Sus scrofa: one gene and its partners. The protein of the gene in region 3 interacts with the protein of the main gene of each other region in a pairwise test. Links are inferred from orthologs where the notes say so. Each region holds a gene or a part of one and is shown on either strand. Other genes may lie near its edges.

Region 1 (9,631 bases), on a different chromosome or scaffold from region 3:
TTCCTACTACCTTTGAGCGAAAGGTCCTGCCTCTCGGCTCGTGTGTGGCGCCTGGGCTCCTGCCACAAGGATGGAGGAGCTCACCTGTCACTTGTCTCAGCAGGGTTAGACCTGGTGCACTCTGACCCCAAGCTCAGGTGGCACAACTTCAGTCACAGAAGGTCCTGGTGGGCACTGTCCACTCTGCCCAAAGGCAGTGAAAAGAGTTTCTTCCTTCCCACACTGAGGAGGGCACAGCAGGAGACGCACAGCCCACCTCCCACCCAAGAAACCCCCTCTTTAAATTCCTGCTTTTTCTCTTCCTTTGTAAAATCTGTTTTGGTGCTCTCAGCTCGCTTTGAATGTGTAGCCTATTTTTCACATCCTAATGCATATAGTTCCTCATTGCTGCACACACACAAAATGCCTATTATGTGGATGCGTTCCCATCGTAGCTCAGTGGTAAAAAATCCATGAGGATGTGGGTTCCATCCCTGGCCTCAATCAGTGGGTTAAGGATCCAGCATTGCCCTGAGCTGTGGGGTCGGTTGCAAATGCAGCTCAGATCTGGCGTTGCTGTGGCTGTGGCTCTGTCATAGGCTGGTAGCTGCAGCTCCAAATTTGACCCCTAGTCTGGGAACTTCCATATGCTGTGAGTGCGGCCCTAAAAAGACCAAAAAAAAAATGCCTATTATGTGTACTGGCATCATAGGTGTCATGTCTTTTGCTCATTAATAGGCATGTATACGTCATTCGGCTCAGTGTCTAGTAATTCACCCGCATTCAATAAATATTTTCAGGAGTTCCCGTCATGGCGCAGTGGTTAACGAATCCGACTAGGAACCATGAGGTTTCGGGTTTGGTCCCTGCCCTTGCTCAGTGGGTTTAGGATCCAGCGTTGCCATGAGCTGTGATGTAGGTCACAGACGTGGCTCGGATCCCGCGTTGCTGTGGCTCTGGCGTAGGCTGGCAGCTACAGCTCCGATTCGACCCCTAGCCTGGGAACCTCCATATGCCGCGGGAGTGGCCCTAGAAAAGGCAAAAATGCAGAAAAAAAAAAAAAAAGACAGGAGTTCTCTTGTGGAGCAGTGGGTTAAGGATCCATTGTTGTCACTGCAGTGGCTTGGGTCACTGCTGTGGTGCAGGTTGGAAATACACCCAGTGCAGCACATAATTCCGCCATCCAAACATCATGACTGAAAGCCTCAAAGTCTTCAGTGATTTGTGGGTTTTTTTTGTTTTTGTTTTTTTTTTTTTTTTGGCTGCACCTGCAACATGTGGAAGTTCTCCAGCCAGGGATCAAACCCATGACAGAGCAGCGACCCCAGCTGCCACAGTAGCAACACCAAACCCTTAACCTGCTGGGCCACAAGGGAACTCTTGATTTGTGTTTTCATTGCGGTGGGGGGAGCAGAAGCAATGCTGGACTGGAGAGAGTTTGTGATGTGCAGCCATCAGGAAGGAAAAATCTAAGTTGTCCTCCTGTGTGGTCTTTCCCCAGGAACCAGGGAAGCAGCAGCTCTATGACATACCCCCCAGCCGCCAAAAGGCCACCCTCGGTCCCCTGAGCAGCCAAGCAAATGTAAGTATGACAGATGCTGAGAGCGGGTGCTCTGCAAACCTGAACCGCCCCTGGGAAATGTAATTAACTTGGTCAGCATTAAGACGGCAGCTCCCTCCGAGCAGAACTTACTTCACTGGAGGCAAAACCCATAACTGCAGTGGTTATGCAACAGGACAAGCTGTGTGGTTTGGATATATTTTTTCCATCATTTCCAGATGCCTCAGTTTCTTATTCCAGGTTTATTGGGGATATTGACCTAATTCCTGCAAAGGACCCAGTACAGTGCTTGGCACAGAGCAAGAGCTCAGTAGACTTTAGATAAGTGCTTCTTATGATCATAACACATCTTGGAGACGTGTTGCATTAAAGTGGGTTTTTATTTGTATATCAGGGAGGTGCCTTAATTCGAAATCTGTAAGCCATGTGTATTGACGGATTCTGTCACATGTATACAATAAAAACATACCTGTGCCCAAGGTGGCATCCCAACAGTGTCACAGGAATGCATAGGAGTTTGGTACATGGACAGCAAGGGGTTAGGAGGACATTTGGGGCAGAGGAACCAGTTTGGGCAAAATTAGGGAGTTCCCTGGTGGCTCGGTGGGTTAAGGATCCGGCATTGTCACTGCTATGGCTCAGGTCACTGCTGTGGTTTGGGTTTGATCCCTGGCCTGGGAACCTTCGTGTGCCATGGGCGTTTTCCCCCCCCACCAAAAAAAAAAAAAAAGAGTCACAGATTGGGCAAAATTAAATGTAGTGATATAAGAAGACATTCTTGAGCTCAAGGAAAGGCAAGCAGCCTGGGTGGCTGGACCTTTAAGGAGGTTGGTGGCAGGAGTGGTGGCAGAAGCAGTGGCAAAGAGGCTCCAAAGGGGGCTGGTGGCAGACAGGGAAGGGCTTGAGTGAAGGAGCATGAGCAGGGGAGTGATAATCAGACTTTTAAGAAGCCCAGTGCCCAGTGCTTAGTGGGTCCTCAGTATAATGCACACTGGTCACACCAGTCGCCCACACCCTCTTTGCCTTGCTCTTAAACTGCGTGACTCTGTGGTTCTTCACAGGGGCAGAATGTTCCTCTGACATCAGCCACTGCCTTAAGGAGGGGCGGCTGCAACACGCTACCAAACCCTCAGAAATCGGAATGGATCTATGACACGCCGGTGTCTCTGGAAAAGGCTGGTGTTCAAAAGGCATCGCTGGCCAACTCTGGGGAAGAATTAGGGCACCGCGGCCTCCCCAGGTACATGTCCAGTTTCCACAGCCCTCCCAACAGCATCGCAAGGTCCCACCCTCCACACCCGCAGAAAAATGGTCCCATGCAGAAAAAACTCAGCCTTCCAGAAATTCCTTGTTACAGCTTCCCGCCGCCCAAGTGCATGTTCCCTTTGGATGAAAGTGTCAGCTATAAGGTCCCTTCGAGCTTTCTGATCCCCCGAGTGGAACAGCAGAACACCACGCCCAACATTTATGACGTCCCCAGAGCAATGCCAGATGTTCCCCAGGCGGGGAAAGAGCTGGGAAAAGCCGGCGGGCCGTCAGAGAATTCCGTGGACCACAGTTCCTCGTGGTTCTGCAGCCGGGCAGCATCGCTCTCTCCCGAACCCGACAGCATCTCCGTCTCCAGTTCTGACAGCAGAGCCAGTGTCCTTTCCTCCTGCTCCTCCACGTCCACCGACTCCTCCTCCAGCTCCTTCTCGGAAGAGGCAGCCAAAGAGCTCCCCTTGGACCTGGACTCGGCCAAAGAGACGGTCACGGCTCTGCAGCACAAGGTGGCCAGCTCTGTGTCCAGCCTGATGCACTTTGTCAGTAGGAAGTGGAGATTCAGAGACTCTCTGGAGGCCAACATCGACGCCATCCGCAGGGCCACTGACCGCATAGAGGAGTCCTTGAGAGAATTTCTGGATTTCGCCCACGGAGTCCGTGGGACCGCGGGCAACCTCACCGACAGTAACCTTCAGACCAAGATTAGGGATCAGCTACAGACAATCGCCAACGCCTACCAAATCCTGCTAGAAACGAAGGAGCGCCTGGAGAGCTGCGGCTGGTCCCTGGAAGTCCTTGCAACTGACAAAGTCCAAAACAGCCCGGACGACCTGGAGAGGTTTGTCCTGGTGGCCCGGACGGTCCCTGAAGACATCAAGAGGTTCGCCTCCATCGTCATCGCCAACGGCAGGCTCCTTTTCAAGCCAAACTGTGAGAAGGAAGAGCCTGTGCAGTGGACCCCAAATGCAGAATTTAAGCTTGCGAGACGCATCCAGCTGCCCCAAAAGGAGGGCGAATCATACCAGAGGAAGGCTCCTTTTCAGAAACAAAGGGCAAGTGAACAGCCTCCTGAACTAATAGAGAAAAATAAGACGAATGCCTGTGGACAGGTGAGTGCAAAGTTCCGACTGGGATCCTCTAAGGGGGTGGCCCATTTTTATCTGGAGGGGTCACCAGTAAGTTCCCTGCTGAGAACCTGTCAAGAGTGGTCCCATCTTTAGAGAGACAGGGGTGCCAGTTTCTGGAAGCTAAGATTCATGAAAGTAAAATCCTAGATGCCATCTTATTAAGAAGTAAGACACTTTTTTTTTTTTAATATTAAGGTAGAGGATGCCTTCTAGAAATTTGAGGGTTTCAGGCTGCCTTCTGATGCTAGGATTAGAAAGGCTTTGGGAAATCTTTTGAAATTTGTTCTTTGAGCAGAAATTTTAATCTCACCATCCAGTTTCCTTGCATTTTGGAAAGCTGTAAATTTAGTCATTGTCAGTGTGTTTCTTAGAAACAGAAGAGGGAGTGGAAACCCTTCCAGATTGTGGGTCGTCCCGGCAGTCTCCAGACACGAGTTACTCTCAGAAATACTTGGCTCCCGGTGTTTAGACATGGTGGAAAGAAACCCGTAGTTCAAGAATTGCAAGTGACAGGACCTTGTAAATCAACTATAATAAAAATATAAATCTTTAAAAAAAGGGGAAAAAAAGAAAGAATTGAAAGTCTCAAGAGGTACAGCAGGTAACTTGGGGGTTGTGTCAGGGAGGTAACTTGCAGCTCCAAGTCTTAGTTTTCTGCTGATAGGCCTAGCAGGGCAAAGGTTTTTTTGTTTTTGTTTTTGTTTTTTTTTCCCAGCCCCTCCTCATATGGAAGTTCGCAGGCCAGGGATCAGAGACCTAAGCTGGATCTTCAACCCACTGTACCAGGCTGGGGATCGAACCCGTGTCCCGGTGCTCCCAAGATGCCACCGATCCCACTGCGGCATAGCGGGAAATCCACAAGGGCTTTAACACCCTCTGGAGAAGCGGGACATCTGGATGTTTTTCATTTCCCGTTTAAACTGTGTGTCATTTTATTGGGCCATGCTGGTAGGCAAAATTCAGTGCTCAGGCTGTCAAGGTTGCCCTTGTTGGGAAAAAGCATCAATAAGGCAGAACTATTAACAAAAACACAAGGAGGATGCAGGGCGCTTAAAGTGGACGTAACCAGGAGTTCCCGTCGTGGCGCAGTGGTTAACGAACCATGAGGTTGCGGGTTTGGTCCCTGCCCTTGCTCAGTGGGTTAAGGATCCAGCGTTGCCACGAGCTGTGGTGTAGGTCGCAGATGCAGCTCAGGTCCCTCGTTGATGTGGCTCTGGTGTAGGCCGGCGGCTACAGCTCCGATTCGACCCCTAGCCTGGGAACCTCCATATGCCGCGGGAGCGGCCCTAGAAAAGGCAAAAAGACAATAGATAAATAAATAAATAAATAAATAAATAAATAAATAAATAAATAAAGTGGACGTAACCAGCTACGCAGTTGTGTAAAGACCATTCTAGTTGGTAATTCGAAGGGATTTTATTTTTCAGAAGTTGCCTCACCTAGAAGAGAAAGAAAAACCCATCTTGGAACAAAGGGTGGATGAAAAGAAAGACTTAGAAACACAGGTAAGCAATGACTTTTACTCTCTAATACTTTTAGTATTCACTCTCTAATACTTTTAGTTTTTTTCTTCCTTTTAGGGCCACTCTGGAAGCATATGAAGTTCCCATGCTAGGGGTCTAATCAGCTGTAGCTGCCAGCCTACGCCACAGCCACAGCAATGTGGGATCTGAGCCACGTCTGTGACCCACACCACAGCTCATGGCAACGCCGAATCCTTAACCCACTGGGCGAGGGATCGAACCCAAAACCTCGTGGTTCCTAGTTGGATTCACTTCCACTTCACCACGACGGGAACTCCAGCATGCACAGTTTAATAGAAAGAATGTTTCAGACCTGCTGGCTAGGCTAAAAGCTCCACATCTTCATTTTGCTAACTGAGTGACCCGAGGCAGGCTTTTCTCTTCAGGCACCTCAGTGTCCTTAGCTATAACCTAACGAAAGGACTTTGGGTTTTTTTGTTGTTGTTTGGGGTTTTTTTGGCTGCACCAGTGGCATGCGGAAGTTCCCAGGCTAGGGATCAAACCTGTGCCACAGCTATGACCAGAGCTACAGAAGTGAAAATGCCAGATCCTTAACCCACTGAGCCGCAAGGGAACTCCCCAAAAGGGCTTTTGATTGTTACCTGGGATGGTTGCCACTAAGTTAGATGCTGAGACTCTTTCGCTAGTGCACAGGCTTTGGTTCCACATTCCAGAAAATAAAATTCATGAAAGCAAATTCTAAATGAAACTTTTTTAGTGCGTAAGATGAATAGTTTAATATTAAAGCAGATAGGTCGGTTTATTTTGATTTCTTCTGAAAATGTGGGGTTTTCAGGTTTACCTCTAATACTAGAATTAGGAAGGATTTTTTTTTTTTTTTTTTTAAGGCCGCATCCGTGGCTTTTGGAAGTTCCTGGGCCGGGGATTGAATCCAAGCCCCGAATGTGGCAACGTGGGATCCCAACCCACGCAGGCTGAGGATCGAATCCCTGCCTCCACAGTGACCTGAGCCACTGAAGTCAGATTCTTAACCCCCTGCACCATGGCAGGAACTCCAGGAAGGATTTTAAAAATGCTTTAAGGGAGTTCCCGTCATGGTGCAGTGGTTAACGAATCCGACTAGGAACCATGAGGTTGCGGGTTCGGTCCCTGCCCTTGCTCAGTGGGTTAACAATCTGGCGTTGCCGTGAGCTGTGGTGTAGGTTGCAGATGCGGCTCGGATCCCGCGTTGCTGTGGCTCTGGTGTAGGCCAGAGACTACAGCTCCAATTAGACCCCTAGCCTGGGAACCTCCATATGCCACGGGAGCAGCCTAAGAAATAGCAAAAAGACAAAAAAAAAAAAAAAAAAAAAAAAAAAAAGCTTTAAAATCCGTTCTTTGAGTAAATTTTAAAATCTCGCCATCAAGTTTTCTGCATTTTTTTTTTTTTTTTTTTTGTCTTTTCTAGGGCCACTTCCGCGGCATATGGAGATTCCCAGGCTAGGGGTCTAATGGGAGCCATAGTCACGGGCCTAAGCCAGAGCCACAGCAACGTGGGATCTGAGCCGTGTCTTTGACCTACACCACAGCTCACGGCAACGCCAGATCCTTAACCCACTGAGCAAGGCCAGGGATCAAACCCGCAACCTCATGGTTCCTAGTCAGATTCGTTAACCACTGCGCCACGACGGGAACTCCTGCATTTTTTTTAAAGTTATGAATTTAGTCATTGTCTATGAGTTTCTTAGGATGGGTTTCTAATGGTTTGTCGAGAGGACTGAGTGAGATTTTACATGTATATAATATGTATGATTATATGTAATGTCGTATATGATTATGTAGATATGAAATGATTTATACATAACAGTGTTTGAAGACATTCATGTTCCTTTGTTAGGCAAATGTGGCACAGCGAGACTTCTAAACAAAACAGTCCTCTTTCTCATAAAAAGTCTAGCTAATTGAGCAAAAACAGGAAAAGGGAGGCAACCACAGCCTGTCGATCAAATCTCTCTCTTATCGTTTTTTTTTTTTAACCTCTTCTCTAGAATCCAGGCTCCCTGATCCCCCGGCCTTTGAGCCAGCAGAATCCCGAGAAGAGAATCCACCTCTCGGAACACTGCCGGCTCTACTTTGGGGCGCTGCTGAAAGCCATCGGCGTGTTGAACGGCAGCCTCAGCAACAGGCAGCCCCCCGAGACCTTCATCACGCAGAGCAAGCTGATCATCATGGTGGGGCAGAAGCTGGTGGACACGCTCTGCAAGGAGACCCAGGAGAGGGACTTTCGCAACGAGATCCTCTGTGGCAGCAGCCACCTCTGCAGCCTGCTCAGGAACCTGGCGCTGGCCACCAAGCACGCCGTGCTGGAGTACCCAAGCCCCGCAGCCCTGGGCCATCTCCAGGCTGAGGCCAGGAAGCTGGAGCAGCACACGCAGCAATTCAGAGGGACCTTGGAATGAGCCTCCCCTCCCCTCCTTCCCCGGGCAACCCCTCGGCTTCCAAGGCACACCAACAACCTGCAAGGCTGTCCTACGGGAAAAGCCAGACTGGGGACGCACACAGCAGGTGGCAACAGCCAGAACCAGTATCACCAAGCAGCCATGCAACCCCAGGACCCTGGCTTCATCCCACAGAGTCAGGGAAACGAGTCAGGTGTTAAGCAAAGACCTTGCTAAGTTTGTAGCACATCCTGTAGGGTCGGCGTGTGAAATGAGGCTGTAGAAACCAGTTTTTATATTGCCTAAAGGTGTGCCTTTTGTATTTTATTTTATTTTGTCTTTTTGGGGCGGCATCCACAGCACATGGAGGTTCCCAGGCTAGGGGTCCATTTAGAGCTACAGCTGCCAGCCTACGCTACAGCCACAGCAACACAGGATCCGAGCCATGTCTTCGACCCACACCACAGCTCACGGCAACGCCGGATCCTTAACCCACTGATGGAGGCTAGGAATCAAACCTGTGTCCTCATGGATGCTAGTCAGATTCGTTTCTGCTGAGCAACGACAGGAACTCCCAGGTGTGCCTGTTTTAAATTCATTCATTCAGACCTTATTTTTTGCGTACCCACACCCTATGTCAAGTTCTAGGTTTCGGGCAGAGAGCACTGATTCACACAGCGGCTTTGTCCTCAGGAAGCTTACAATCTGGTGGAGAGACAGACAAATAGTGAAGAAATACATAGACAGTGTATTAGGGAAAAAAGTGGGAGGAGGGAGGAAAGCTTCTTTTCAAATGATTACTTTCTGCATCTGCTAGAAAATGTGACAAGATTTTCGTCTTGGATTGAATTAATTCCGTGAGATTGGTGCCATTTACGTATCTGCATCTTACACCCCCCCCAAAATTTTTTTTGCAATTGTATTTTAGCTGAGTTAAAGAAGCATGCTATATTTGCAACGGGACATGTCCCGTTGGGTTTCTTATTTATTTTGTACATGATAGGTTCTGTGTTGATAAATTCAGCAGACTCAGAAAGATTTATACCTCAATCTGTTACTGTTTATAATATTGTGTAAATATCGTCATGACCTGAGACATCCTTTGCAGCAATCTTTTCTCTGGAAAAGTCTCTGATCTGTGTCACTTGGGCGCAGGTACCAAAGCAAAATGTTTACTCGTGGCATTCAAACGCATCTCCCTGGAGAGGCAGGTGAAGCCAGGTTCACACACGCAAGGCTGCTTGGGAAAAGCAAAGCCAGGAAGTGTGGTAGGAGCAGGGTCCCTATCGCCAGGCCCAGATCTGAAATCGGCCCAGAGCTCCCCCCAAGTCAAACCACCTCCTCTTCCTCTCCGTGCAGCTGGGACTTTAGCTCGCGTTGCTATGGTTACACCATCCCCACTTCACACTACAGGTAAAGGTCCATGTTTTCTATGGGCATCTCAGCCACTAAACACCTTCAGAGCCTGGAAGCAGCATCTCCAGGCTGGAAACCACCTGAAATGGTACCGGGTCCAGTTCCTATCTGCTGCTCTGTTCTTAATAAGTGCTTTTAAGTCGTTGACTGCAAAACGACTCAGTTATTTTCTCGGAGTCAGTTTCAGGGTCCCTGAAGACAGACCCCATCTTTGCGAGGCTTGGTTCTCTACACCAGAATGGAGACAGCCACCTTCTCGGAACAGCCGTGATCTGTGTCTGTTAGGACTCCTTCTGTTACAAGGAATCAAAAAACACATCTAATCTCTCTTAAGCAATAAAGAAAATGTATTGATTTATTTATTGGGTTTGTTTATTTATTTAA
Region 2 (9,631 bases), about 140 Mb from region 3:
GAGAAAGGCCGCATGACTGGCATTATTAGCCTGCAAGGACCTCAATCTATACAAGTCCTGATGCTGACAGCGATCACAGGGCAGATATGGTTATAAAACAATACTAACATGAAAAGAGATGAAGACGACATTTAATAGGTATTTTTCAGGGTGTTAAAGCCCAATGCGAGTGCTGGATGTCGCTCAGTAGATCTAAAAAGCAACTGCCTAAGTGTCTACACTGCAGCATCAGGGACAAATGAAGATACAGCATGCTACCGTCTTTTTGTGGCTGAAAGAGTGAATTCCAGTGACAGCACAAAGACTCCCAAAGTACTGTAGCCTGAACACCTTGCCAACGTGATAAATAATGACAGTAATGGATTTAGCCTAAGGAAGACAAATGGGAACCTCTAAGTCCATGCTGACAAGAGAAAAAAGGATGGATAGAAAGAATAAAAGAAAGGGAAGAAGGGAGGCAGGGAGGAAGAGGGGGATGATTCTTTACCCGACACTGAAAGTCAACTAAGAAACGGGGAGAGTGGGGCAAAGCCGGGCGATCGTCATTGTGCAGCCAGCACAGTCAAGCTCAGCTCAGTCAGGGCTGCCAAGGATGCTAACGCCACGGCGGGCAACGTCTGACGAAGGAAGGACCCAGGCTGAGGGCGTCTCCCCAGACTGTTCATCAGTTACAAGGGAAACACAGCTACTGCCCAGTGGGAAAAGCAGACGGTGCCTTGACGGAGGGAGGCAACTCCACCAGACCAGGGAGGGCAGAGGGCCAGCCTTCCCTCCAGATGTGGTACCCAGGAAGAACACGGCAGGACTCAGGTAGGCTTTGGCCGGAGATGGAGGACCTGAATCCAATCATGGGGAAACACGAGACAAACCCACAAAGAACAAAATTCTATAAAAGAATCGGCCTTATATTCTTCCAAGACGTCAGGCATCTCAGACAAGAAAAATCTGCGGAACTGTTTTCCATTAAAGGAGGCTGACGCTGCCATAAGATAACCAATTGCTGTATAAGAGCGTGTACTGGAGGAAAACCAATGCTTTGTGAGAGCATCCCTGGGGGAGTTCCCATGGTGGCTCAGAGGAAACGGACCCAACTAGTATCTGTGAGGACGTAGGTTGGATCCTGGCCCTGCTCAGTGGGTTCAAGGATCTAGCGTTGCTGGGAGCTGTGGTGTAGGCTGCAGATGTGGCTCGGATCTGGTGCAGGCAGGGAGCTGTAGCTCTGATTCGACCCCTAGCCTGGAACTTCCACATGCAGCCCTAAAAAAGCCAAAAAAAAAAAAAAGCAAGCATCACTGGGACACCTGACAAAAATAGGAATGTGGAATGTCATTTCTTTTTTTTTTTTTTTTTTCTTTTCTTTGGACCGCACCCAAGGCACACGGAAGTTCCTAGGCCAGGGATCGAATCTGAGCCACTGTCGCAACCTATGCCACAGCTGTGGCAACACCAGATCTCTCACCCACTGCACCACAGAGCAAACTCCTGGAACATCATTTAGATTAAATATCTTATCAATGCTACATTTCCCGGATGCGTAACTGTGGTTACATAAAGGAACAGTTTGAGAAAATACACACTGAAGTCAAGGAGTGTGATGGATCCAACCTGTTCCCACAAGGCTCAGAAAAAAATTACACTGTGTGTGTGTGATATGCACACATTCTTACAAAGAGAGAAAAATTGTCTAACTGTGGGAAAATGGTAAAAAAAAAAAAAAAAAGTGGATCCAGGTCATATGGTTGTTCTTTACACTATCCTTGAAACTTTTCTGTAAATGTGAGATGATTTCAAAATGGTAAGTTACCAACATGTCCATACAAAGAGCCGTATCCCAACGATGTGCTCTAGACGCCTGTGTTAGAGCATCAAAATGCAGCCCTAACGGCATTCAAGACATCGATGCTGGAAGAGCATGAATAAAACGGCATCAGGTAAAGTGAGTGCCCACACGGACTTCACATGCAAGTGACCAATATTAGTAAGTTCATTATTACAGGTGGACCCTGGACTGGATTTTTATAGCCCTAAAAAATTTTATTTTCAAGTCGACTTAAAAAAAACGTTTGGGGTTGATCTTCTCACTGGGCAAAGAAGACAATCACCATCTACTCAAGAATAACACACAACTAAAGTAGCTGCTATGCCTCACAGACCTTCACAAGCTCATATCTGTAAGAATGAGGGACATCAAAGTCTCATCACAACTGATGCTCCAACCTCCAATGCCCTTATGGACCGCTGACACCAGGGACCAATTTCAAGCCCAAGCCCAAATTTTTGAGTAATCCCTAAATAGGAGAGTCCCCGAAACGAAGTGTTTTATTCCATGAGGACGCTTCTGGGGTGAAGATCTTTGACTAATCCCAAAACAGCAGCGCCCGGCCAGCAGGCGCAGGTGGGAGATGACCAGGAGAACTATCTATTAGAGAAAACCAGGGCATTTTCTTTCATCTCTAGCACCTGGCGCATGAGTTAAGTCTGGGAAGTGCCACAGCCCAGCACGCGAATCTAAGCCATCACTGCAAACCCCGGGCTGGCAGCACCTCGCAGTTCGTTCTTTGACGTCCTATGGGCAAGTCAAGGGAGCACCTCCCTGGCTCTTGAAGTGAGCTTTTGTGTCTACTGTGCATAAAATTTAAGTGTGGGGATGACGGGAGTTGAGGCGAGGAAGGCAAGGGCCTAGGTCATGATTGTTTGGGTCTTGATGAAACAAGTCTCAAATAAAAATAAAATCACCAGGGAGCTCTCGTCGAGGCTCAGAGGGTTACGAACCCAACCAGTATCCATGAGGATGCAGGTTCAATCCCTGGCCTCGCTCAGCAAGTTAAGGATACAGCACTGCCATGAGCTGTGGTGTAGGTCACAGAGGCACTCAGACCTCACGTTGCTGTGCCCATGGTGTAGACCAGCAGCTGTAGCTCCGATTCAACCCCTAGCCTGGGAACTTCCATAAGCTGTGGGTGCAGTCCTAAAAAAATAGAGAGACAGAGAGATAGACAGACAGACAAATAAAATCACCAACTGCTAAGTCTACCAAAGGATAGGACAAAACAGTCCAGCATGCCAGCCCTTTCCAAGGCCTCTCTGCCAAGGATGAGGCAGATAAAGCTAAACTGAGGGTACAGAGTGGAGTGACACCAGGGAGAGAGGGAGCACCACAGAGCCTCAGTGATTTCCAGGCTGCAAAATTCCCGGGGACAAGAAAACAGAGCACGCCGCGTGGAGGGAGGCAAGCCCTTGGAATGGCATCTCTCCCGGAGGAAACCGACTTATAACAGGACCCCCCTCTTCCTTCCAAGGATGTCCCCCAGGCCAGGCACGAATGGACACACCCTCCCGCTCCTGGGCAAGGGGCCGCCGGCCGAGCCCGGCACTCACGTTTCTCCTGGACGTAGAGGTACCCTTCCATGGTGTAGGGACTGATGGTCTTGTGCTCGAGGGGATTCTCCTTCATCTTCCTCATCAGCGATTCCACTTCCGACCTGGTGCCTTCAAAGCGGTTTCTTGTCTAGGATGAGAGGCGTTTTCATTCAAATCCAAGCCATGAACCCATGTTCCCCTCTCTAGCGCTTTGGAGCATCAGCCCACAGAATCCCCAGATCTAAACCCAGGCGGGGAACATGCAGCCGTCTAGGCATGTGGCAAATGTCCACTTTTAAGAAGGAGACGCTGGTCTTCAAGTCCCATCCTGGAATGACCCTCAAACTCTGGTGGGCACCATGGAAACCACCTGCAGAACTGGCAGAAAATGCAAGCGGCCAGTCCTCACCCCAGAGATCAATTTAGGGCCTCTCAACCCAGAAAGGTGCTTTTGCACCAAGCATCCCGGGCAACTCCAACTGAGCCGTTACACAGGGGGGCCTGCCCTCCTCCTCTTTCAGGACCCAGATGCCCTTTCTCCACCTGTTTGCTGATGGCTCCCTCCTCAAATGGAGCTTCTTGGCTCAATCGCTCCCGCCCCCGGGCAGCCTAGAAACAGGCAAAGCCAAGGGCCATAAGGGGGGGGGGGGGGACCATCCCAGCGCCAGGAGGCCCATGGCCACAACTGAGGCCTCTCCACAACCAGCTCGCCGCTCAGCTTCTGCCCTCCTCCCTCGCTTCTTGCAAACCCTGCTTCCTGTGCACCCGCTTCGTGTAAACCTCCGCTCGAGGGTTTGCCTTCGGAGGAGCCCGCCCAAGGGGAAGCCACGCTTAGTGGAAGCTCCTCCGGGACTCTGCAGCTTCCTGTTCCCAGAGGCGACACAGAGAACCAGGAGGGGGCAAGGTGGGCCTCCGAAAGCACACGGCCCACCCCCAGGGACGCACCTGGACCCCATGCAGCCTCATGGGGCCCCGTCACCCAGTGAGGAGGGGATGGAGCCCGTGACTGCTGGCCAGAGTCCTGAGCAGGGCTCTGTGCACCCACAGGTCCTGCTGTTTAAAACCGGGCAGAGGAGACAGGGCACAAGGCGCACTGATTTGGGTTTCCTGGCAGCCTCGCCGAGAGGCGAACGGAGCGCATCCTTGAAGCCAGAGGCCAGCGTGTGTGCCCCACGCCCAGGCCCTGGACACGCTCTCTGAGGTGTGTGTGGCCCGGAGCTCGATGTGCAGGAGGGAGGCTGGGCTGGGCAGGGCTGGGCCTCTCACTGCCAAAGGAAATTCTGACTCTGGCGCTACAGCTTTAAACACAATCGGCAGCAGCACTTCCGGGAACATAAATAGCGCTCTGAAATAATGGGGGGGGGATGACGCTCCCCCCGGGACCACCACGCACCCTGGAAAGGCCCGCCCCGCTGCCCGTGGAAACCAAGCAAGACGCAAGACCCACCCCCTACCCCCACCTGCATGTCGGTCTGTTTAAGGGATCTCTGCCGCCAGACTCCTGGGGTGTTTTTTCCTTTCCTTAACCAGGGAAGGCAGGCCTGGCCCCTCAGCCACTCACGTTCTGGATGCTGATCGTCAACTGCGTCTTGAAGTCACTGAAGTCCTTGGCCAGCTCATACCCATGGTGATAGAAGGTGAAGAGGCCTTGCAGGAAAGCCAGTAGCTGCAATGAAGGCAGAAGGACAGGGCTCACATAAGCGGGTTCAAGAGGTTCTACGGAGCTGACCTGAGTTCCCAGCCCTGGTGTGAGTTGAGAATAAAGGAACGATAACAGCTATCGTTTACAAAGCGCTTCTTAAACGCCAGGCACGGGAACGTCACATGCTGTGTCTCACTGCACATTCATGACAACCTATGAAATGAAAACTACGGTTTGCTCCATTGGAATGATAACGAAGTAGATCCAGAGAGGTTAAGTAACTTGCCCCAAAACACACAGTAAGTGGCAGCCAGGATTTAAAGCCACGTCTCCTTGGCAACAACACCCAACAAGCTCTTACCCTGAGAGCCTCGCCCCTTCTAAGAAAATCACTTCCTCAGAAACCGAAGACCAGGGCTCCAACGCGGTCAGTCTCCTTCTGGTGTATTCATAACACCAGGTTCTCATACCAAAGGGCGTAGTTACATTGATAACCCACAAGGGAGGGAGGAAAAAGGAAGCTGGAGCGTCCTGAGCAAGCAGAGTCGAACAGGCAAAGCAGATCAAAGACAATTATCCATGTTGGACGTCAGCTCAAGTGTGTTTCTGCACTTTCCCTAAACTATGCAAAAGCGAACACTCTGGATCCCTTTGTTACAATAACCCCGTGGTCCCAGGTTTCCCGTTAAGGTGCTTTAGCCTCAGGGCCAAAGGTGAGTCCACTCCCTGTTTGGTCTTGTCTTCCGTGAAGAGTGCAAGCATCTGCTCACCCCCATTCTCACAATACACCTTCGGATACTTAAAAACCCTTCCCGTCCCACCCCGGGCCCCTGCCAGCCTTCTCTTCTCCAAGCCAACTAAACGTCCTTGCGGTCTCTCCTCCCCGTGCCCGGGCTGTCCTCCCGGTGCCTGTGTGGAAACCTCACTGGTGCCTCCCCTGCCAGGCCTCCTAAGTGCTACACAGTTTGTCTCGGTCCCAAATCTCCACCTAAAGGAAGGAAGACGATTAAAGCCTGAACAAGGCTTGAAGACCCAGAACCTTCGCTTTCTGACAAGCCCAGTTCTACCACATGTGAGGACTTGGCCCCACGGGCACTTGAACTTCTCAAGGCCAACTCGCATCATCTGCGTGGAGCCCTCTGCGCTGCCTCAAACACGTGTGACCTCAAGACGCAGCTGCTTCGCTTTATGTTGGGGTGTTTCTCTTGCTAGCCCCTCAATGAAGGTGCCTTTACTTTGTGAACATAGGCTCACAAAGTTTCGCCTCTAACCCAGCTCTCCCAAGAAGCAGGGCTAATCACAGCCGTGACAGGTCCGCACACTCGGCTGTGGCAGGAATGGTGAAAGCACCGAGGCACCTGCTCCCCCAGCGGAGCCCAGAGGAGAGAGCGGTCTTCCGACAAAGCCACAGGCCCAGCCCACTTTATCAAAGAGGGTCTGCATTGCGAAGTTGGACCACACCCCGCTTCAAACCAGACGGTCCCCTGACTTCCTGCTGCCACTGGCTCTGGAGTGAGTGTCTGTTCCCTAAGAGCCTCAAAGGCATTGCTGGGTCCTCCGGCTATAAAAGCACCGGGTGGCATCACCGATGCATCCCTAACCTACATCAAGGAACCAAAGCCACAGACAGGCACCAAAGACCAGGCGTGAACTCTCTCCTTCAAAGTCTTTGGACGTCTTCTCTGTAAAGGACACTTTTGAGCACAAGGCCCATATTCTGCCTTCCAAATGGCTCAGCCATGGACAAGAAGTGGCTCTTCTGCCACATCTAGGGGCCGGCAGTCACAAGGACAACCGTCCTTTCTCTCTCTCCCCCCCGTTGTCCCTGGAGGCCGTGCCCTGTCACCTTCCCAAGGCACTGAGTCACCCTCGACGGAAGAATAATGCGGAAGATAAGTCACTCCTCCTATTAACTCCTGGCGTGTCCCTCACTCACAGTCAGCAGGGCCTCCCACTCGGGTAATTCGCTGTCTCACGAAGATGCCACCTGGGCGTGCACCCGAGCGCTCCAGAGGCAGAGCGTGGTGAGTATTTATTTGGGTTTTCACTTCCTTTGGTATCAGGCCCGATTGTCCACTTTCCTACGGGAAGTGATGCCTTCGGGGTTGTCATCTTTGGCCCACCCCCCTTCCTGCTCCCCTCAAAGCATCTTTCCTCTCTGCCCCCACCTCCTGACACTCACCCCCTCCACAGTGTATGAAGCTTTGAATGCGGGAAATCAAAGCCCACAGCTCAGGGGGCGGGGCAAGGCCCAGAGAAGGACCCCGCGACCAAGGACCTGTCTGCCTCAGAGAAACGCCTCTGCTCGTACCCCCGGAGAAGCGCTTGCTGATTCTCACCTGGCTGTCAGGTAAGAGAAGCCAGTACGTCCCCCGGCTTCCTCCCCCGACAGCAGACCAAGGAAACAAGGACAGAGAGGTCTTCCCACCTCGCCTGGCCTTCTTCCTTTCCCATCCTTGTTGTCCTCTGAGCACAACTGGAAGAAAAATCTCTCTCCTATTTCCTAGATGATAACACAGATGTTTAAAATAATCATAAACACAAACATAACTGCTTTCTTCGTGGTGGCTGCATCACTCTGGACTATCTGACAAATTTAGGTTTCCGTGCATAGAACAGAGCTACTGCTATGGGCTGTATTGGGTCCCCTATGCTCCCAAAGATAGGAAGTCATGAGCCCCAGTATTTCGGAATGTGACGTCACGTGGAAACAGGGTCTGTACAGCGGCAATCAAGTTAGCATAAACCCAGTAGGCCCTAACCAAAGCCAATCGGTCCTTAAAATGGGGTGGGGGGCGGGATTGGACAGAGCCACAAACACAGAGAGAGGACAGTCCAGTGAGGATGAGGACTGAAACGGTGCCTCGGTCAAGCGAGGGATGCTGACCACCGCTGACCAGCCACCAGGAGCTAGGAAGACGGAAGGAGAGATTCTTTCTTTACAGGTTTCAGGGGAGGCAAGGGCCCCGCTGACCTTGACCTCAGACTTCCAGCCTCTAGAGCTATGGCCTAATGTATCTCCGTTGTGCTGAGGCACCCAGCTCGTGGTGCTTTGTTACAGCAGCCAGAGCAGCTACCAGAACCCAGCTGTTCACACAGCAAAGAGAAGGCGGCAGCCAGCGTGGGGAGGAAGAGCTGGCCAGGGTCGCCAGGCAGCTCCCTAGACCTTCCTTTGCACCTGTTCCTCCGTGGGGTGTGGGAAAGACAGAGCATCTCTGTGACGGGTTTAGGCCAGGAGTGCTGGCCGGAGCTGCTGGGCAAGACAGCGAGCCTCAGGGGGACATGTCGGCAGAGACGCTGTGGGGACAGTGTCAGGACAGGATGCCACTGACCCAAGAGAAAGAATGACAGCCTGCAGCGGGGCAGAAGCATTGAGAAAGGACAGAAAAGCAGACATCCAGAAGCATTCAGGAGGCAAAACTCAGCTTGTGGAGCCTGACGAATGTGGAGCAAGCTCTCGGCAGCTCTAGGTAACCTTCAGTTAGGAACACTCAGGGAACAGACCGAACGCGGCTTTATCTTCAGGAAGCCACTGTGTCATTAAGTGCAATGCCCATCTCCAGAACATTTACTTTCTCGACAAGAAAATGAAGGTTTCCAGGGCCCCAAACACCCGAAGTCTGATTCCTCTTCCTTGGCACACTAAAATTGTGTTTCTTTTTTCTGCAAGGCAACCACATCCTGGTACCTGAAGTCACTTTCTAAAAAGCAGCTGAACAGAGCCAATGTACTTGGAGGTTCCCTGAACAGCTGGACGGTTCCCTTGACTGCACCCCAACATGTGAAAACCCGCACCAGGCACCCCGCAATTTAGGTCACTTGATTTCTTGCTGGATTCCTTTCCACTTGTAAGAAGCCACATGATGTTTCATAGAGATGAAGGGACAAACCATTACAGCTCTGCCGCTGACGAGATGTGACCTTGGAGAAGAAATAAATGCACTTCCATTTCTTTATCTGAAAACAAAGACAGGACCTACCCCCAGAGATAAGGACAGAACCACCTACTGTGGGTAAAGCGCTTATTAGCTTATTACTAACACAGAACGGGACCGGTTTCGGCTGATACCCTCGACTCTTACTTCTTGTCCTTGTGGGCAATTCAGGTCAGTGGAGCAGAATTGCCAGGAGGGCTCAGGACCGGGCCCCACCCCCACATTTCAAGTCTAGGGTAGAGCCTGAGAATTGGGGTTTCCTTAGAAACTTCGAGAAACACTGAGCTGGCCAGGAGCTGCTTCTTCTCCCCGGTCCACAGCTCCGGCCACTCCCTGCCCATCAACTGGTGTGTCCCGAAACAAGAGCTTCTGCAGGAAAGCGAAGGGATACAGGCCTGCATCCAGCCTCTCAGCCCACTGCCTCAACTTCCCTCAGGCCAAGTGCCCATCACCTTCTCTTCATTCTAACGCGAGAACAGAAATTTCACTAGCTCTCCAGACACCTGCCTTGATGACCTGGAAAACATCTGCCAACCACAATGGGTTTCTGCTTTTCAAATCCCTCTGGTACCTCCATTCTGTCCAAGCTGGCACGGAACTGCTCGCTACCTTGGCTCGTTCTTGACCACATCACTGCGTCTCCAAGGAGGCTGTCAGCTCCTCACACAGAGCAGCTGGGTTGCCAGCACTTTCT
Region 3 (10,371 bases):
CCTCATGGATACTGGCTGGTTTCGTTGCCACTGAGCCACAACAGGAACTCCCTGGTTCCTGGCTTTGAGTGGCCTTGGATGAGTGTCTTTGCCTCTCCAAGCTTTCATCTCTGTCACTGGTTTGTAATCAGCCCCAAATGGAGCTCCTGATTTTCCCCGAGTTTCCTCCCCCAACAGAGGACACTGGGTGGATGGGCAGAGGTGGGGGCTGCACCTCAGCCTTGTTCCCACGGGTTCAGGGGAGTCTTTATAAAAGTCCTCTTTTCGGAGTTCCCGTCGTGGCTCAGTGGTTAACGAATCCGACTAGGAACCATGAGATTTCGGGTTCCATCCCTGCCCTTCCTCAGTGGGTTAACGATCCGGCGTTGCCGTGAGCTGTGTAGGGTGTAGGGTTGGATCCCGCTTTGCTGTGGCTCTGGCGTAGGCAGGTGGCTGCAGCTCCGATTTGACCCCTAGCCTGGGAACCTCCATATGCCGTGGGAGTGGCCCTAGAAAAGGCAAAAAAAGACCAAAAAAAAAAGTCCCTTTTTCATCCTCAGACTCATTCCAGGTCAGGTGGCAAGGCCAGCTGCCGTCCCCCAGTCACTCCTTGAATAATATTTCCATGAAACTGCTGCCTGCAGGGACAGTGTGTTCCAGTCAACAAAACAAGTTCAAGTCCCTTAGCTTGTTGGGGACGCATGTCATTCCCTTGTTACAGGCAAGGAGGCTCAGAAAGGGACAGTCCTTTTTTTGCCTGTGGCCACAGACTAAGTTAGCAGCAAAGCCAACTCATAACCTGGGGCTTGGGGCTTGGCACTGTGCTGTCCCCGCAACCTGGCTGTGTTGTGAGAGGAGGGGGCAGGGACAATGGTGGAGTGAGAAGCCTGAGCAGGGAGGAGGGCCCAGAGCCAGCCCATCTTGCCACTTCCAGGCTGAGCGGATCACCATCAGTGGCCTGAGCTTTGGTGTCCATTTCTGAAAAGGGGGGTAGTGACACTGACTCTGCCCATCTCACTGGCTCTCAAAGGATTTGAGGAGCTCAGGACAAGAGACCCTTGGTAAGGGGCACAGGTAGGCCTGGGCAGGGGGGTGCATGGCAGAGCCTGGGTGGCAGAAAAGGGAAGAGACACAACCCTTACCCACTCAGCCCACAACTTGGCCCAGGGCCCCTTTCTTTGCTGTCCAGGCCTCAGGTTTCCTCTGAACCTCTAGGGTAGTCCTGGCAGAACCCACCTGACTTGGAGTTCCCGTTGTGGCTCAGCGGGTTAAGAACCCAGCTAGGAGTTCCCATTGCGGCGCAGCAGAAATGAATCCCACTAGGAACCATGAGGTTGCGAGTCTGATTCCTGGCCTCACTCAGTGGATTAAGGATCCGGCGCTGCCATGAGCTGTGGCGTAGGTCACAGACATGGCTCAGATCCTGCGTTGCTGTGGCTGTGGGGTAGGCTGGCAGCTGTAGCTCTGATTCGACCCCTAGCCTGGGGACCTCCATGTGCCATGGGTGTGGCCCTAAAAAGCAAAACAAACAAACAAAAAGAACCCAACTACTATCCATGAGGACTCGGGATCTATCCCTGGCCTCACTCAGTGGGTTAAGGATCCGGAATTGCAGAGAGCTAGGGTGCAGGTTGCAGAGGCGGCTTGGATTTGGCGTGGCTGTGGCTGTGGCCGGCAGTTGCAGCTCCAATTCAACCCCTAGCCTGGGAACTTCCAGATGCTGCAGAAGATACCCTCAAAACCAAAAAAAGAATACACGTGACTGAGTTGAAGGAGGGGCCAGGAAGGTTCAAGGTTAAAATCTGAAACTTTCCGGAGTTCCTGTCATGGCTCAGTGGTTCACGGATCTGTCTAGAAATGATGAGGTTGTGGGTTCGATCCCTGGCCTTGCTCAGTGGGTTCAGGATCCGGTGTTGCTGTGAGCTGTAGGGTAGGTCACAGACGCGGCTCAGATCCCATGTTGCTGTGGCTCTGGCCGAGGCCGGTGGCTACAGCTCCAATTACACCCCTAGCCTGGGAGCCTCCACATGCCGTGGGAGCGGCCCTAGAAAAGGAAAAAAAAAAAAATCTGAAACTTCTCTGTATTCGTTTTCTGCTGCTGCTGTAGAAAATCACCACAAACTTGGCAGCTTAAAACAATACAAATGTATTAACTTACAGCTCTGTGGGTTGGGAGTCCAACCTGAATCTAAAATCAAGAAGTCAGCAGGGCTGTGTTCCTTCTGGAGGCTCTAGGGCAGAGTCTGTTTCCTGGTCTTTTCCAGCTTCTAGAGGCTGCCCGCATTCCTTTGTTTGTGGCCCCTTCCTCCACCTTCAAAGACAGGACATCTCTTTTTTCTTTTTTTTTTTTTTTTTTTTTTGGTCTTTTGTCATTGTTGTTGTTGTTGTTGCTATTTCTTGGGCCGCTCCCGCGGCATATGGAGGTTCCCAGGCTAGGGGTTGAATCGGAGCTGTAGCCACCAGCCTACGCCAGAGCCACAGCAACGAGGGATCCGAGCCGCGTCTGCAACCTACACCACAGCTCACGGCAACGCCGGATCATTAACGCACTGAGCAAGGGCAGGGACCAAACCCGCAACCTCATGGTTCCTAGTCGGATTCGTTAACCACTGCGCCACAACGGGAACTCCAGGACATCTCTTTTTTTGACTCTCCTGCCTCCCTCTTCTACCTTTAAGGACCATTGTTATTACACTGGGCCCGTTCAGACAGTTCAGGATAATCTCTCTAGTTTAGGAGTTCCTGCCATGGCACAGTGGTTAACGAATCCGACTAGGAACCATGAGGTTGCGGGTTCAATCCCTGGCCTTGCTCAGTGGGTTAGGGATCTGGTGTTGCCATGTGCTGTGGTGTAGGTCACAGATGCGGCTCGGGTCCTACATTGCTGTGGCTCTGGCGTAGGCTGGTGGCTACAGCTCTGATTCAACTCCTAGCCTGGGAACCTCCATGTGCCGTGGGAATCGGCCCTAGAAAAGGGGGAAAAAAAAAACTCTCTAGTTTAGAGCCAGTTGAGGAGTTCCCACTGGGGCACAGTGGTTTAAGGATCTGGCATTGACTATGGCAGCTCCAATTTGACCCCTGGCAGGGAACTTCCATATGCCTAGAGTATGGCCGAAAAAAGTAAATAAAGAAAGTAAAGTCAGTTGATTTGTAACTGTAATTGCATGGGCAACCTCAGTTATTATTTTCTATGTAACAAAACTCTGTATTTACAGGTCCCAGAGACTAGGACCGGGACATCTCTGGGGGGGGGCTATCACTCTGCCTACCTGACTCCCTTTCTCCTGATCTTTTCCTCCCCCCCAACTTGGCTGACCCCCACCCCCACCCCCAGCATCCTTCCTCCTTCAGGATGCCTTCCTGACCCTCTCTCCCTAAGAGCCCCTCCCACACGTACAGGATGTACCATCCTGGTCGCAGTGTACTGTCACAGCTGTCACCCGCTCTTCCTAGCACTTGCTCACCTGGCAGAGTATCACTGTGTACTTGGGGACCGGGGCTTCCTCCATCTCCCTTCATTGGACAGTAGGTCCCAGACCAGAGGGGCTGAATCCCCAGCGACAAGAACAGTGTCTGACACTTAATGGATGCCCCCAAAGTATCTGCTCAATCGCTGAACCGGGCAAGGGCTGAGTTCCCTTCAGCCTGCCTGGGTAGGGCCTGCCTTCCAGTAAATGTTTCTAGTAACGAATGAATGAATAAATGAACCAACCAACCTTCCAGCCAATCAACCAACGTTGTAATGAGTCCAAGTGTGGGTCCCACCCCCGCCCCGGAAGCCATCTAGCCGGTTGACAAATATGGGTGTGGCCAGGCCACTCTGCAGGTCCACCCGCAATGCCCCCTTTTCCAGGGAGGGGCAAAACTCCTGAAAGCTCTTGGAAGTTTGTAATATTTTAACGTGAGTGCCTTCGAGGCCTCATTTATTTCTTTAGGAGTCACTGAAGACACTGTGCGGGCGCCTCCCCGACCCAGCCCTCCAGGGAGGGAACTCGTCCAAGGACGCTCTGTGAATTCTGCAGAATTCAGTCTTCCAGCTGCTGCCCTCCCAGAACCGATAGTTTTAGCTCCGACCCGCACAGCCGGAGTTCGAGGAATCCAGTCCGGGCATCGGACGCAGTCTGGCTCGCAGCCGTCAGAGTTTGGACCGGACGCCCGGGCGGGCGTGGCTGTTGGACCCCAGCGCCGCGCCTCCCAAGTGGGAGCCCAGGCTCGCCCCGGAGTGGGGCGGGGCTGTGGGCGGGACCTGATTGCTGCGGCCCCCGCATTGGCTCCACGGATAGGGGGCGGGGCTTCAGGGGCCACGGTGCGCACTGTAAGTTCACAGCCCTAGTCGGTCCCATCGCCGCACGGTCCAGCTCCGGAGATTTTGCCGCCCACCCGTCCGCCGCCTGCGCGCCTCCAGGTGAGTTCAGGTGGGGACTGTGTAGTCCGACCGCGCTCCTGGAGGGTCACTCGAGAGGCCCATCCTGAGGCGCCCTATCGCAGCTCGCGCCCCAGCCCCCGACTTACCTCCACAAGGTCCTTACCCCAGTGCCTCGGGCTCCAAGGTGTTTCTCACCCGAGCCTCGGTCCTGGCAGCCACGCCCGCGCCCCCCTCGGCCTGCGGGGCGCTGCGCATCCCGAACACGAACTCCTGGATCCGCCCTCCACGCTGCGCCAGAGCCCCCGCCCCACCCCCAGGACCCGGGAATGCCCTCCCGCAGCCCAGCTTGGGGTCGTATTTTTAGCCAATGGTGAGGTGTCCTCCTATCTTTAGCCTTAGCCGCGAGTGTCCTGAAACGAATCCGGGCTGAGCTGGGCTGCGCGGGAGAAAGAGGGCGGGGAGGGGTCGGCTCCGGAACCCGAGCTGGGGCTGAGGAGCCCGACCCGCGGAAGCCAGGGGCGTGGGCCGCATGTCCGAGCTCTGGCCCCGCGCCGAGCGGACACTCGGACATCGCCCAAGCTGGAAAGCACGGGGGAGGCTCCTCCCTGAGTTTGGATACCCGGGCAGCGTCCCTGATCGCTCCTTTTCTCCCCTATTGTCTGGTTGTGAGACTAGGGCGCTCCCAAGAGAAGAAGATCCCGCGGACTATCCGCACCTGGTTAGCGAATGTGCAGCTCCTTGGGAGGGAGCTTGCCGGGAGCGCTAGAAGCGCTGGGGACCCCGGTGCGCAAAGGGTCTCCTCCCGGACGCGGGGCAGTAGAGGGAGCGCGCGCGCGCGCCACCTAGTGGCCACGGACCCGAGAACCGCTCCGCCTAGGGACGCTGGGAGACCTCGTGGCCAGCAGGGGAGACTCAGCGCCGACCGACCCTTCCGCCCAGGGGCTGTTCATTTTCGGTCTTGTTTGGAGCGCTGTCCCCAGAGAACCAAAATACTTGAGGAAGCCCTACAGCTATTTGCTGGATAAATAACGGGGCTGACAGTGACCCGCTAACCCTGTCTGTCGCCCATCGGGGCTCTCTCTCACTTGCAGTATGACAGTAGGGTCCCTGGTGTTGGCTTTATTGTCATCCCATTTCATAGATGAGGAAGGTGAGGCCCGGAGAGGAAGGGTCTTGCCCAAGGTTAGAGCGAGTCCTAGGTAGAGATAGATTCAAGGTCAGTCTCCTGATTTGAAGGTCAGAGGTTGGCTTTATTGGCATCCCTGGTGGGGAGTGGCCTAACATTCTTTGTGAAAGGAGAGGCTCTACCTTCAGGAAGTCATTTTCTCTAAAGGAGGCCCAGGGATCCTTCCAGAACAAGCCCACAAAGCTGGGATGGCTCCCTTCTGCTCCTCCCAAAGCTGCAGGGAGCCACCTGTCCCAACACCCCTCTCACTAAGCCTTGTCCTGACAGAGACCTCATTCCCATTTCTCTGCATGCTAGCAAGTTGAGAGAGGGGGCGGCCAAGAGGTAGGAGTTAAATGGTGGTGGCCAGGGATCCAGCGGCCCCGGCCCAGCTGGGAGCCTTTTTCTCTCCTGCTCCCCGTGCAGCTTGCAGATGTTGGCATGGCTCACTGTATCAGAGCCATTGGGACCTAGCTAGGTATCAATGCCCACTCTTCCTCTTACTAGCTGGATGACATTAATAAAGTTACTTAATGTCTCTGAGATTCAGCTTCTGCCTCTGCAGAGGCCAATAATTGCACCCACTATGCTGTGTCTGGGAGCGTTATGATGGAAACCATACTAGGGGAGCTGCAGCCTGGGGTCTGGTGGTTGCTAAATCCGAATTGAATCCTTGGGGCTTGATGATTGCAATTCCCAGCTCTCCCCTGGTGGTTGACAGGGGCCCAACCCTTCCCCCCAGCCTCAGTGCTCTCCACATCTGGAATTGGGTGGGTACATCTGGCTCAGAGCGAGGGAGCTGTCAGGGACGCCAGATCTGTTGTGGAAACACTCAGGCTGTCTTGGCGCCCTTGTAGGATGGAGGGGGGGAAGGCCTGGCCCAAGTTCTGGGCAAATCCCACCACTCAGCCGCCCTCTCCGGGAGTAGAAAGGAAAGAAAAGCTAGCCCAGGACTCCTCGCCTGCCAAGGGGCCAGATAGGCCCCTAGACCTGGCGTGGGGGACACAGATAATTATCTGTTAGATAAATGAATGATGGGATTCCAAGACCTCAGAGCACTCCTGGCCTCCCCCCACCTTCCCCAGCTCCTTCCAAACTTAGCTGGAATTCTGCCACCGGAGACTCATTCTTTTGTTTCCTGTTAAGCTGCAGGTGCTCTGGGAGGGGCAAGATGTCTGGTCTCTGTGGTTCAGCATGACTGACCCGGGATGTCTGGTCCTGGGGTGGGGTTTCCTGAGTGAGGGTCTGGGCTGGGGTGGGAGAGGGAGAGCAGCTGGGACTCTGCCTCTCCTGCATCCTCCTTCCTGCTCCCTCCTGCCCACCCCTCTCACTGCTCAGAATGAAGGATGGGGCAGAGGAACTAGCAGAGGCCTCCCCTCTCCTGCTCCACCTTTCCCCAGCCACTTCCCACCTGCTCAGCCCCAGCCCCCTGGGGTAGGTGGGCTCACCTGGACACCTGCTGGGTGACCTTGGACAAGTTTCTTTGCCTTTTGTGCTCTGATTCTACTATGGGGCCAATCCCCCACCATGGGAACCAGAGGGAGTGCTTGCCTCACTTCCTTTTTCTGTTAAACCCATATGACACCCCTCCAGAGTGTATTTATTTTTTCCACATTAAAAATATCTTTATTTTTTTCTGATTCCGTGAATAACATGCGCTCATAAATAATGCATGCTTCTGGATTTCCCACTGTACAGCAGATCTGGCACTGCCATAGCTATGGCATAGGTCACAAGCGCAGCTGGAATTCGAACCCTGGCCCACTCTGTCACGGATGCAGCCAAGAAATAATAATGACAATAATAATAATAATACCTGCTTCTTATTAAGACTTGGAGTTTACAGGGAGTTCTCTGGTGGTCTAGTGGTTAGGATGAGATGCTTTCACCACTATGGCCCAGGTTTGATCTCAGGTCTGGGAACTGAGATCCCGCATGAAGCCGCTGCACTCTGTGGCCAAAAAAAAATTAAAAAAGAATTTCAGCTTACAAAAGTATGCACAAAAAGGGAAAGTCGCCTGGAATTCTACCACCTTGAAGGAAACACCATCAATGTTTTGGCAACTGTCCTTTCATATTTAACTTACATATATCATTTTTTTTAGTAATGGGACCAGATATTAAAGATATATACACACATATATATATGTATATATATATATTTTTTTTAGGCCCACACCTGTGGCATATGGAGGTTCCCAGGCTAGGGATCGAACAGGAGCTACAGCTACCAGCCTACGCCACAGCCACGGCAACGCCAGATCTGAGCCACGTCTGCGACCTACACCACAGCTCATGGCAACGCCGGATCTTTAACCCACTGAGTGAGGCCAGGGTTTGAACCCGCAATCTCATGGTTCCTAGTTGGATTCTTTTCCGCTGCGCCAGATCGGGACCTCCAGAGATATTATTTATTGAGGACAACTTTCCTCCCATGTCACTGACCCCACACCCCATCCCTGCCCCCCTCCGCAGTCTAGGAGGCATGTATGACAACTTCATGCTGGCCTTCTGTCTTCTTCTCAGTTCCTGTATAAGATATGATCCTATACATCCCTACATGTAGATACACATATATGCATGTGCAGGGAGGGGAGCTGGTCAATGCTTTCAACAAATGGAATCTTCTAGACTACATTTTTGCATTTTGCTTCTCTCCTTCTGCAATGCCTTGTGGGAATCCCTCCAAAATGTCTGATAGCTCTAGTTTTAGAATGGGAATGACAAGAGGGTGGCTGTAATGATGAAATTAGACGTGTTGGCAAAGAACTCAGCAAAATTCAGGCACACAGAGCCCCCACCCCCTCAATATTTGTAACCCTTAGGTGCTAGGGCAGGGGGGAGGGGCAGAAATGACAATAAACTCAGCCCTTGTCCATAAGGCACCCCTAAGCCAGAGGAGAAGAAAAGCAGAAACCCTGAGCAGGTGACCTCACTTCCGCGTAGGATGTGATTGGGCCAAACAGGAGGTGTCTGTCCTCAGGTGCAGTCGGCTGAACACCTGCTGCGAGTCTGGCTCCGTGCCAGGCCTGGGCGGGCAAGACAGGTTGCAAGATCGCCATCCTCCACCAGCTTTGAGACCCCCCAGACAATTTGGCACCAGTCATGCCCTGGGCTCAGTTGAGTGCAAGAGGGATGAGCACCCATGCGACCGTGATGAGCGGAGCTGGGGACTCAGGGCGAGAGACCAGGGCCAGGGCCTTGTGTGTGACTTCAGCCCTGTCACCCAGGTTCTCCACCTGCAGAGGGAGGGCTTGACGCTGGTGATCCAGGCCTTGCGCGCAGTAAGTCTGTGAGGCTCCTGCCGGAGGGGCTTCCCACAGGAGTGCAGCCCCACGTGGGTTCCTGGGGCTGATAAAGGGACCTCTGCCTTTTGTCATCCTGTCCCTGACTTGTACCCTTGGTGTTTCAGCTCCTCGGCCCTGAACCCCGAGAGCATCACGGCCTCCAAGCTCTGTACCTTCCTGCTCCCAGTTTTCAGAAGAGTTTTCAACCCTTTTGGGAGGCAGGGATTTTTGCTGTCTTTACCTTGGACTTCATCGATCGTTGATCTTTTCTGAATTCCTGGGGTCACCTTTGGTTACACCCCACACGCTAGTCTTGGCCCCTTGGCGGGTGTTGCGGGGTCTGGACCCCTCCCTCGGGGTTTCTGGGTGAGGGTGGTGATAACGGACGGTTCCAGCCTTGGCAGCCAGGCCTGGGTGCCGAGGTCGCAATGTCCACCAAGGTGCCCATCTATCTGAAGCGCGGCAGCCGCAAGGGCAAGAAGGAGAAGCTGCGGGACCTGCTGTCCTCCGACATGATCAGCCCGCCGCTGGGGGACTTCCGCCACACCATCCACATCGGCAGCGGCGGCGGCAGCGACATGTTTGGTGACATCTCCTTCCTGCAGGGCAAGTTCCACCTCCTGCCGGGGACGGCCATCGAGGAAGGCGAGGAGGATGGCAGCTTCGAGCTGCCCTTCCAGTTCACGCGCACGGCCACGCTGAGCGGGCGCGAGCTCCCCGATGGGCCGTCCCCTCTGCTCAAGAACGCCATCTCCCTCCCGGTCATCGGCGGGCCCCAGGCCCTCACCCTGCCCACCGCCCAGGCCCCACCCAAACCCCCGCGCCTGCACCTGGAGACCCCTCAGCCTTCCCCACAGCCCTCCCCGCAGGAGGCAGGGTGTGTGGACATCTGGAGGATTCCGGAGGCTGGCTCCGCCCACAGTGGGCTGACCCCCGAGTCAGGGGCCGAGGAGCCCTTCCTGTCCCATGCCAGCTCCCTGCTCTCTCTGCACGTGGACCTGGGGCCTTCCATCCTGGACGACGTCCTCCAGATCATGGACCAGGACCTGGGCCACCTGCAGATCCCCACATAGGACCCGATGCTGGCCAAGCTGGGTGCCCAGGCTGGGCTGAACGCCAGAGGCAGGGGGTGGACACTGCCCTGGCCTAGAAGTCCGGGTCCCAAGGTCCCACCTGTGTGGTTGCTGGCCAGTGATGTCTCACTTTGAGCCTTTATTTCTCTCCCTCCCACCTTCTACCCGTGGGCAGAGAGGCCTCATTGCTGTCCCCTAGGCCCCATGAGGACATGTGCAGCCCAAAGTGCCTCTTCATCTTGGGCCCCCAGCACCCCCACTGCCAGCTGCTCCTCAGAGCCCTTGGACGAAGGCTCTGCTGAGGCGGACTCTGCTTTTGGCCTCCCTCTGCCTCAGCCCCTGCTGGGGGGCGGGGGCAGCACAGCCAGATGGACTTCCAGCTCCGTGCTGAGGACTGAGGACATGGCATCAGCGACTGACGTCCCTCTGCCCCACCCTCCCCCATGACCAGGGGATTCTGGTTGCAATAAAACATGCTGCTGCTGGTAGTTGTGCTCCCCG

What was found.
Region 1: the proteins of CDC42EP2 (region 3) and CASS4 interact in binary tests that used the Homo sapiens proteins (3 or more experiments, as listed by UniProt). The link is inferred for Sus scrofa from reciprocal best matches to the Homo sapiens genes CDC42EP2 and CASS4.
Region 2: the proteins of CDC42EP2 (region 3) and ARHGAP26 interact in binary tests that used the Homo sapiens proteins (3 or more experiments, as listed by UniProt). The two-hybrid records come from large-scale screens. The link is inferred for Sus scrofa from reciprocal best matches to the Homo sapiens genes CDC42EP2 and ARHGAP26.

Annotation. Positions count from the first base shown.
Region 1 is NC_010459.5:57,022,701-57,032,331, forward strand, and holds the end of CASS4 (cas scaffolding protein family member 4), read left to right. Parts: intron 1-1,480; coding exon 1,481-1,561; intron 1,562-2,601; coding exon 2,602-3,912; intron 3,913-5,357; coding exon 5,358-5,435; intron 5,436-7,441; coding exon 7,442-7,852; 3' UTR 7,853-9,606; downstream 9,607-9,631. UniProt on the Homo sapiens protein: Docking protein that plays a role in tyrosine kinase-based signaling related to cell adhesion and cell spreading. Regulates PTK2/FAK1 activity, focal adhesion integrity, and cell spreading.
Region 2 is NC_010444.4:144,468,982-144,478,612, reverse strand, and holds part of ARHGAP26 (rho GTPase-activating protein 26), read right to left. Parts: intron 5,027-9,631; coding exon 4,922-5,026; intron 3,509-4,921; coding exon 3,379-3,508; intron 1-3,378. UniProt on the Homo sapiens protein: GTPase-activating protein for RHOA and CDC42. Facilitates mitochondrial quality control by promoting Parkin-mediated recruitment of autophagosomes to damaged mitochondria.
Region 3 is NC_010444.4:6,897,484-6,907,854, reverse strand, and holds CDC42EP2 (cdc42 effector protein 2), read left to right. Parts: upstream 1-3,814; 5' UTR 3,815-4,384; intron 4,385-5,020; exon of another isoform or gene 5,021-5,063; intron 5,064-8,922; 5' UTR 8,923-9,225; coding exon 9,226-9,870; 3' UTR 9,871-10,358; downstream 10,359-10,371. UniProt on the Homo sapiens protein: Probably involved in the organization of the actin cytoskeleton. May act downstream of CDC42 to induce actin filament assembly leading to cell shape changes. Induces pseudopodia formation in fibroblasts in a CDC42-dependent manner.